2 linked regions of the Arabidopsis thaliana genome follow. The protein of the gene in region 1 interacts with the protein of each later gene in a pairwise test. Each region holds a gene or a part of one and is shown in the gene's direction. Other genes may lie near its edges.

Evidence for each region. The genes of interacting proteins can lie anywhere in the genome.
Region 2: the proteins of RMR1 (region 1) and NF-YC13 interact in a two-hybrid assay, tested with the Arabidopsis thaliana proteins (one large-scale study listed by BioGRID).

The regions. Positions count from the first base shown.
Region 1 is NC_003076.8:26,443,156-26,448,713, forward strand, and holds RMR1 (receptor homology region transmembrane domain ring H2 motif protein 1), read left to right. Parts: upstream 1-1,930; 5' UTR 1,931-2,042; coding exon 2,043-2,172; intron 2,173-2,258; coding exon 2,259-2,495; intron 2,496-2,640; coding exon 2,641-3,030; intron 3,031-3,451; coding exon 3,452-3,549; coding exon of another isoform or gene 3,550-3,567; exon of another isoform or gene 3,568-3,645; coding exon 3,646-3,723; 3' UTR 3,724-4,278; downstream 4,279-5,558. Other genes in the region: AT5G66150 (Glycosyl hydrolase family 38 protein), read right to left, coding at 40-111, 179-382, 448-622, 697-785, 869-952, 1,049-1,279; STR18 (sulfurtransferase 18), read left to right, coding at 4,673-4,779, 4,863-4,942, 5,021-5,091, 5,184-5,243, 5,333-5,431. UniProt on the Arabidopsis thaliana protein: Involved in the trafficking of vacuolar proteins. Functions probably as a sorting receptor for protein trafficking to the protein storage vacuole (PSV) by binding the C-terminal vacuolar sorting determinant (VSD) of vacuolar-sorted proteins.
Region 2 is NC_003076.8:17,354,718-17,359,153, reverse strand, and holds NF-YC13 (nuclear factor Y, subunit C13), read left to right. Parts: upstream 1-2,447; 5' UTR 2,448-2,587; coding exon 2,588-2,980; 3' UTR 2,981-3,309; downstream 3,310-4,436. Other genes in the region: AT5G43260 (chaperone protein dnaJ-like protein), read left to right, coding at 1,168-1,461; AT5G43240 (hypothetical protein (DUF674)), read left to right, coding at 4,389-4,436.

The DNA.
Region 1 (5,558 bases):
ACACACTTGAAAAAAAAAAAAATACTACTCAAGACTTACATAAACAAGAGAAGCATTGACGAAATCATTAACCGCCTCCTTAATGTTATAGCCATCGAAACGAGGGTTGTCCTGCAAAATGACGAGTGAACCGAATTCCCCTAAACCAAAAACCAAACGGGAGAAAGAAGAAGCGAACCTGGAGGGGTACGTAATCGTCGGTGACTTCATAGTGAAAGCCAGTGGGAGGGCCGTAATGAACAAAGAAGATATTGGTGAATATCTGAGAAGAAGAATCCAGTGTTTTTGATCCTCTCCAGATGACTTCAAGTGATTTCTCGGCCTTTCGCTTTTCTCTGTCTTGGTAATCGATTCTCGCGAAATGCACAGAATCCAACCCTAACTGCACCCCCACCAAATTAAAACACACTCATAAGGAAATAAAGAAATAAATAGATTAGAAGGGACCTCTGCTCCAAGGAGGTAAGCTTGAACAGAGGAATGACCAAAGGGATCGATTTGCCAAGCAGCACGTGGAGTTGTGTTGAACTGTTGCTTTATAAACCGATGCCCCTTTGTGGTTTGGTCTATCATATCTATGTAATGGCACGTTGCTTCATCATTCATAGCCCATCCTCCATTTCTGCACATTGATTGTGTGAATTGTATCAACGCTAGGTAGCCAAAATGATAAAATTAAGGTCGTGACCTACTTACACAAACTCTAGTTGCCCGGATTTCACTAGTCTCCTCACTTGCTCTTGTCTCTCGGGGCTTTGTTCTTCCCACCAACGCGTAAAGAAGGCCTTTTTCATGTACATTGATGTTCACATAAGAGAAGAAAACATATATTATGGTTTTATGAACAAAACCATTATTAATGTTTTACCATTTCCGCAAACACAAACTTTCTATTGGGATCACGAAGTAGAGAATCCACCACCGAGTCTAGGACGTTCCTCACGCAAGCGTTCTGAAACTCACAATTCATTTGGGATATATAGTACGTTAGACTCGTCTCTACATACATACATATATATGATTCATCATTCATCTGTAGATAACATACCTGGATTCTGTTGTTAGATCCTACGTAGTACTGATCAACAGTTTTCAACCAGCCGACATCGTCATGCGAATGCGGAACAAGATGAACATTTAGTTTCCCCGGAACCACTTTAGCTTCGGTTCCATACTTCACGTATCCCCCGCCTTTGACGCTCTCAACCAACGACAACAGAAGAAGAAAAACAATAACACAAAGTGATCCTTTCAATAAAGACATACCCGGTTTCTCCATTTTCCGATGGCAGAGTTTTCAGATGTTTTTCTTTCTTACAGGGTGTGGAGGAAACTTATAACAAGAAAATGGAGAGAGAGCAAAACAAGGGTCATAACAAAAGACCAAATCCTTATCGTTTGTTTTTGCTCAGATCCGTCGGTCTTTGTTAGAGTCTCTCTATTGTTTTACTGTGACTAGATTGTCATTTCACCATATGTAATAATTAATTAGGTTCTACAATAATCTTATTTTCCTACAAATTTAATTAAAATCTTGACCCTAAAATAGTACTTTATTAAATCTTTTTTTCTTCTACTTTGATGTCAACATTAAAATTGAAGTTGATCTGTTTTGAGTTTTGACAATAGTCATTTACCTTTTCTTTAATTTTATTTAACAAATAGTTTTGGGAAAAAATCTCCCTTTCTTTGATAATACACAAATCAATCAATATAGAGATAATTAAACCACGTCTTTACAGAGAATAGAAGCAAATCTTTGAGCTAGTAACATTTTAGTATAAAAATCTCAACAACAAGTCATTTACATCATTGCAACTGTTTTGTTCTCTTCATTTGACTTGGGGGTTGTTTGCTTGCAAAGGAGGCTTTGTTTGTACGTCGTCGTTTTTATTCCGTATATAAAATATAAATTAACGAACTAATCTTTAAAGCCTCTGAGACGAGTAGAAGGTTCTCTCTGGTGAAGAAACCAATGCATTTCGGCGACAGCCTGAAACTGAAAAGCCATCGATCGACCGAGAAAGCGAAAAGAGAGAGAGATGAGACTCGTCGTCTCAAGCTGTCTACTAGTTGCAGCTCCTTTTCTCTCCTCTCTGTTACGAGTCTCACTCGCCACTGTTGTCCTCAATTCCATCTCCGCCTCTTTTGCCGATCTCCCAGCCAAATTTGGTCAATTTCTCCCCCTCTTCCTTTTTCCTTATCCGAAACAATTTCTCGAACAATCTGGTTAAAAAGAAGTTGATTTTGATTCTCAGACGGCTCCGTGACCAAAAACGGAATCTGTGGAGCTCTATACGTCGCAGATCCTCTCGACGGTTGCTCACCGCTTCTCCACGCCGCCGCATCCAACTGGACGCAACACAGAACTACTAAGTTCGCTTTGATAATCAGAGGCGAATGTTCTTTTGAGGATAAGCTGCTCAATGCCCAGAACTCAGGTTTTCAAGCTGTGATTGTCTATGACAACATTGACAACGAAGATCTCATCGTCAGTAAGCCTTTTGCCTCCCACCCAAGTTTAAAATTCCATCTTTTCTTCTCCTGATGAGCTAGGGTTGAGCTGAATTTCATTGGAGTTATTTAATTTAGTCAACGCCCCCATAAGTTTGGAGATTGACCAACATCTGTTTTGCACAGTGAAGGTGAACCCTCAGGACATTACAGTTGATGCAGTCTTCGTTTCAAATGTCGCCGGTGAGATTTTGAGAAAGTACGCGAGAGGCCGAGATGGTGAATGCTGCCTTAATCCGCCAGACAGAGGGAGCGCTTGGACTGTGTTGGCCATCTCCTTCTTCTCTCTCCTTCTTATAGTCACTTTCCTGTTGATTGCCTTCTTTGCACCCAGACACTGGACCCAATGGCGAGGGAGGCACACCAGGACCATCAGGTTAGATGCAAAGCTCGTCCACACACTCCCCTGCTTCACCTTCACTGATTCTGCTCACCACAAGGCCGGGGAAACATGTGCTATATGTCTCGAGGATTACAGATTTGGAGAAAGCCTCAGACTTCTCCCCTGCCAACATGGTACTTACTCCTATTCTTCTGTGGAAATAAACTGGCAACTTGCCACCCTTAATGTGTTCATTGAGGTCTTGGAAATGTATATTTATGAGACACAGATCTTCCCTTCACAGGATTGAAACATGTGCTTACTATTCTAGGAAGACTTTGATAGGTTTCTCTTAGATTCTAACTTTATAAAATAGATTTCTTTCTAGCATAAATTCCTCTGTTTTAGGGTTGAAGGTACAATATATTCCGTTTCTGTCAATTCCAGTTTGATAGGTAAGCACCGAATGCGAACTTTTTGGTATTACTCATTGCTTCGAATGATATGATGGGTCGAATATGTACATCAGAAGAATAAATTAAAGATTTGACCTTTTTTAGTTTATGTAAGTGGGGGTAATTCATAGCAGTTGGTTGATTTGAAGCTCTTATGCAGCTTTTCACTTGAATTGCATCGACTCTTGGTTGACAAAATGGGGTACATCTTGCCCTGTGTGCAAGCATGACATAAGAACCGAGACTATGTCTTCTGAGGTGATCCTGTTAGACTGAAATGTATAAATCCTTTCAGTAGTTATTTTGTTGTTTTTGCGTTGGGTTCAATACACTGTTTGTGTTGTTTTGTTGCAGGTACATAAACGAGAGAGTCCGAGAACAGATACAAGTACGAGTAGATTTGCCTTTGCCCAATCCAGTCAAAGCCGTTAGAGTTATTATCGGCTTAGCAGCTGAACACTCATATCAGTGCTCGGTTACCTGGATCAGGTCCAGGTTTGCATCTTATATTGAATGGTTAATCATGGTGGGATAAGTTTAGGTAAAGGGACCGGATCTGCCATACTGGTCGTGCTTTGCTGGATTCCCAGATCAAAAAGATATGAGTTGCTTTGCCTCTTTTTCTTTGCATGTGTACATTTACATACGCTCTGAGTCATGTGTACATTTGATCATTGTGTGTGTGTGTGTGTTATAGATTGAAAAAATGTGTGTGATAGTACAGATATGCAAACAAATTGATAGAAAACAAATGTTGGTCTAATCAGATTTTCTCTCTCCGATCCAGGCAAATCTCTAATGTTATCTTGTTGATAATTTCTTTGCCTAAAGTTTGTATAATATGAATATTGAATCTGATTCCCTTACATGGGGGAATGGAATCCATTGAACGTGGCTTTGATTTTGTCTTGTCTGTAGTAATAATAAGAAAAGAACACGTCATCCTCATCTCTACCTAACGACTCATCCAATACGATGACTCGTTCATGGGTTTGTTAGTTGCGCAATTCCATCACCAAAACTTTCTATTACATACTCAACTTCTTTTGATTACTAAATTCAGCCAACATTTCCTTCTCATCTCTAATCAGTGAACACGTTTTCTATGCAGGCTTTGGGGCCTATCTTACCATAGCTGTCTAAGAAGACTATTATCTTATATTCTTTATTGTAGATTTCATTTACTTGCGTATGGAATTGGAAACAAATTTCTAATTGTTGAATCATATACCATTATTTTTATATTGGCCATGCATGTGTATAAGTGGAAGATAGAACAATATTAAAACAATATTATTGTGTTTGGTCCTATTTATTACTCTCTGCTCTCTTCCTGAAGCTTCTTCATCTTTTTGTTTGACAAGAAGAGGTAGAGAAGAAGATGTCTCAATCAATCTCCTCCAGCACAAAGGCAGAAGAAGTTGTTAGTGTAGATGTGAGCCAAGCCAAGACTCTCCTCCAGTCTGGGCATCAATATCTTGACGTTAGGTGAGCTTCTGATCTATTCTATCATATCACCATGCATGTACCAGCTGCTGCGGTTGTTAATGAAAAATCCTTGCACATGGCAGGACTCAGGACGAGTTTAGGAGAGGCCATTGTGAGGCAGCTAAGATCGTCAACATTCCCTACATGCTCAACACACCTCAAGGTAAATCAAATATCAATCACCTTTAATTAGAGATATCAACCAGTACATGAGTTAAAGCCTTGTGATCTCTACTCTTAGGTAGAGTGAAGAATCAAGAGTTCTTGGAGCAAGTATCTTCTCTTCTAAACCCAGCTGATGATATCCTTGTGGTAACTCTTTTCTTCCTCATCACACCCACAAGAATTAAAATCTGCCGGTGAAAACGATGATAAAATCTGGAAAATGATATTGATACAAACAGGGTTGTCAGAGTGGAGCCAGATCCTTAAAAGCCACAACTGAACTTGTTGCTGCAGTAAGTGTATAATAGTCCCTAGTTTACATACATAATTTACTCCTACTTGTGTGTTTAATCTCAAAGAATCAATTCATATATACATAAAAAAATAGGGTTACAAGAAAGTGAGAAACGTGGGAGGTGGCTACTTGGCTTGGGTGGATCACAGCTTTCCCATCAACACGGAGGAGGAGGAGCCATCTGCTAATTAATAATCTTAAGATTCTCTTCTTTTCTTAATCAAATAATATAACTGCCTGTGTGATGTAGTAATCATTTTCAATTTAAAATTCCAGTTTCTTGTAATCAAAACTTTCGTGTACCAAATTCAATAAAAGC
Region 2 (4,436 bases), 9.1 Mb from region 1:
GTGATTTGTTTGTGGAGAAGAGTGCATCGCCTGATAATTCAAGCAACCTAGTTATAGTACAAACGTGAAAGAAACAAAATTAACCCAAAAAATGAAATGGAAGGTTACAATTGCAACCCTTGCAAGATAGTACAACAATATAATAGTAACAATAGAACAATAAACCCTAACCAAACAAAGTAAGAATTACATTCCTCTAATTTTAGTGCATGTAAGTTCGGTTATCACTGCAAACTTAATCATTTCCCTATTGACTAATTCGTAACATAGTTTATACTTTCGATTAATCAATTAATTAATTTACAGTGAATTTGTGAAAAACTTCTAACGAGAAACTTATTATGTTATAAAAGTCAACAAAAGAACTGTATCACACAGAACATATATATTGGGTCTGATTGGTAACCAAAAACTATACAAGTTATTTAGCTGTTAGCTTTATCGGAATAGTGTAAAACTGTTAAAATGAGCTGTACAAAAAAACTGAGAGTAAATTTTTTTGTAACGCTTTTGATAAAGTTTTTGTGATTAGTAACTGTCAAAATTGTATTGTTATTAAAATGGTTACCATTCAAATCTATTAGGTAAAATACAGAGCCGTCCATAAGTACAAGCGGGTCAAACACAAGCTTGTGGCCTCAATTACTATAAATAAAATTTTGATTTTTTTTAGTAGAAAAATTAGTTGCTTGCTTCTTTGATGACAAAAAAAAAAAAGCAAGCAGTCAGATAAATCAATGATAATCTAAAAAAAAGAAAAATCTGACGAAAAAAAAAAAGAAAAAAAAGAAAAATCTGAAGGTTGTACACTTGTAGAAGATATTTTACACACACAGCCCAATAAAAACCCAAATCCAAAAACTGGAGTATCCAAAAAAAACACGGCTGTTTCATTCATCTCCTCACACAACAACTTAACCCTCACTAGCCCACGTGTTTACTTTCTCAACCATTCCCTTATCTCCCAAAATTGTATTTACTTCAAAAATAAACCGAACCGTATCAAATTAAAACAAGACCACACTTTTGTCTGAACACAAAAAAAAAAAAAACTTTTATTTTTTCCTCGAGACGTCTCTCTTCTTCAATTTCTTCACGATTCTACTTTTGCGTTATCCCCAAAATTGGCAACCAAAACCAAACCTCTCTCTCTTATTGAAACCAACAATGAGTCCGATCGTCATAACCCAGTTAGCTACAGGAATCAGCGTTTTAGCCGGTGCGGTCTTTATCAAATCAGTCATGGACCAAAAGCCTATGGCTGGTCAATTCCCTCGTTGTCCGACTTGTAACGGTACTGGACGAGTCACGTGTTTCTGTTCTCGATGGTCCGATGGTGACGTTGGATGTCGTAGGTGTTCTGGTTCAGGTCGTGCGGCTTGTAGCAATTGTGGTGGTTCTGGAACTGGTAGACCTTTACCGGCTCAGATTACGGTTCAGCCACCGAATCGTCCTTATTGATGATTCTCAAGAAATTTGTATACTTTGTAAACGATTCTTCTCTCTTGAACTCTCTCACTCTCTGTCTTGTAAGTTGATTATATATATATACACATAGATGAGAAACAGATTTGATAGCTTCTGTGATATTTTTTCTTGTGTTGGGTTGTTTTGTTACTGTTCATAGTCAAAATATTCGAATTTGTCATTATTGGTGGCTCAAATCTTTAGTATTAACTATTAAGAATTAAGATGATGGGTTTGATCCAATGATACGAAAAGTTAGCTTCTTCTTGTATATTGTTGTAAATGGACTTTGTTGGATGTGTTTGGTTCATGTCTAGTACTCAATATGTGACCATGAGATGTTTCAACAGCCTCTTGTTCCAATGGTATGAAATTGGTTCATGTCTACAACCTCAAAACGTTGTAGAGGAAGGAGTGTTGTGTGTGAATTTTGTGAAAAGCTGCGAATAGTAAAGAGGAAACGGATTAGTTATAACAAATTAAACAGCTACAATTGTAGTAGATGGTCTCTCAAGTCTCAAGATTAGAAACATCTCGGAGCCAAAAAAAGGCTTCCTACAGCCATATAGAAGTATAATCTCAAATCATTATCCACACTTGGAACTATCTCTAAAGCTCATTTGTTATTTGATGGCATTTCTAGTTCGATATGCCACTCCTTAAATCCGTTGCGTTCGTGAAGGATCAATGGGGTTCAATTCAGGTAGCTAGGAGATTTGTACCAACTTGTAGCTTTCTAGAATTCCTTGTACAATGTGATCCAAGTAAAAGAAAGAATCGGTTAAAATTTTCAATATAAAACTTTAAAATAGACTACTAGTACTAGTTTGAGCTAGACAGTGACTCATGTAGAAACAATCTCTACAACATAAAAATCTACGAACCATACCGGGTTACCAAACGTTCTTCTCAATCTCACCAATCGGTTTAAGCTGAAAACCCGAATTAGCAAAATCTTCGTTCGGGCTGTTTTGGTTAATCCGGTTTACATGTTTTCTCATTGCTCATTTTCATTTTCCCGCCGTGACAGAGCGCGTAAATCTCAAAACCCTAAAAATGTCGAACATATACAATTCATTACCTTAATCAGATTTTCTCAACAGAATCAAAATCAAAATCCATGGAGGAAGAAGAAGGATCAATCCGACCAGAGTTTCCAATCGGAAGAGTAAAGAAGATAATGAAACTGGACAAAGACATCAACAAAATCAACTCAGAAGCTCTTCACGTCATCACTTACTCCACCGAACTCTTCCTCCACTTCCTCGCCGAGAAATCTGCTGTTGTTACGGCGGAGAAGAAGCGTAAGACTGTTAATCTCGATCATTTAAGAATCGCCGTGAAAAGACACCAACCTACTAGTGATTTCCTCTTAGACTCGCTTCCGTTGCCGGCTCAGCCTGTCAAACATACCAAATCGGTTTCCGACAAGAAGATTCCGGCGCCGCCAATTGGGACTCGTCGTATCGATGATTTCTTCAGTAAAGGGAAAGCAAAGACTGATTCAGCCTAAAGTAAAATTTCTCATTTTGTTCACAATTGCAAATTTTACTCTGTTCTCAAATCAAAATCTTGTTTTGCTAAAAGTGTAGTGAGAATGTATGGATCATGAGGAACTTTTATAGGAATTGGTAATTTTAAAGATGTTGTGTCTATTAGCATTTCTACTAATTGGAGAAACTGATTCTTGTCCTGTGACTGTGAGATACATCTCATTGTGTTGCTTAGAAATCTCTGCATTGCTCTAACTTTGGTGTGTAGAGATTGAGAGAGAGAGAGAGAGAGGTTTGGGATGTGTATTGTTCTTCTAAGCTATTCTTATATGAATACTACTTTTGAGTGTTTATGTTCTTCTGAAAGAACATGGCTATAGAAGTTGTCGCCGTTACAATAGTATGTTATACTTTCTTTGATTGTGAGCTAATAAGCGCGGTTGTGACCGAGCAAAATGAAAGCTTTTGCGGAATGTATGTTTCAGTTTTCTTTAGTTTTTCATTCTGACAAGTTTTCTAGAGTAGAAGTGAACCAGTCTGATGGGTAAAGTCTGAAACTTTTAACAAGAAAGTGTGATATTTCTCAAGATCACTATCCATGGTTACATTTCTCAATAACTCCTCTCAAACTTCATCTTATATCATCTGCTTTGTAGTGTGGATTTGGTATATGTTCTTTATTTGCTTTTATGGTTTCAGACCAAGTCTAGTGGTATTCAATGATGACTTGAGTGTCCAAAAGCTCTTATTATGTTCTCGGAATTGTGAAAGAAAAAAGTGATTATGTTGACATATCAAATTGATTGAATCCAATGGAACATCCACTTTCTTTAATATTCCGTTTAGTTATTATGAGAACTTGAACCGTTATAATTAAACAACATAAACCAAGCAATTGTGTTCTTTTCGGAACTTGTGGTACATGAACCCGGCGAATTGGATTTACTTCGTTATTTGTTGCCTCTTCCATTCCCGAAACCTTTAATTAAGGCCTTTGACCATGTCTTCTCTAAACTGTTCCACTTCCTCCACTTAAGCTTTATATAAAACCTCAAGTCCTATGAAAAGAACACAATTGCTTGGTTTACTCTAACAAGGTAAAATCTTACGCAGCATATATAGATCATATTGTTGAATATTTATGAAAGTAGTTTTTCCAAGAATTGATGTGTTTGTAGTTTCTTCTGTTTCTAAGCACTAGGAAACCATTTCTTTGATGCCACGTTAGACTATGTTCTTCTGAGGTTTTTGTTCATTGTTAGCCTCGTTACGTATTTTAGCATGTATGATATATGAACAGACTCCGCTCTGTTTAGCTTTTATAAAATTGTTACCTATTTATACAAAATCAATGTAGCTATCGTCTCTAACATGGCTGTGTAAAAAGTGACCTTTTTCATTGTATCAGTGCAGATTTTGTATCAAGACATGTCAGCTACTTTGAAGAATCCGGTGATTAAGTTGAAACTACTCATA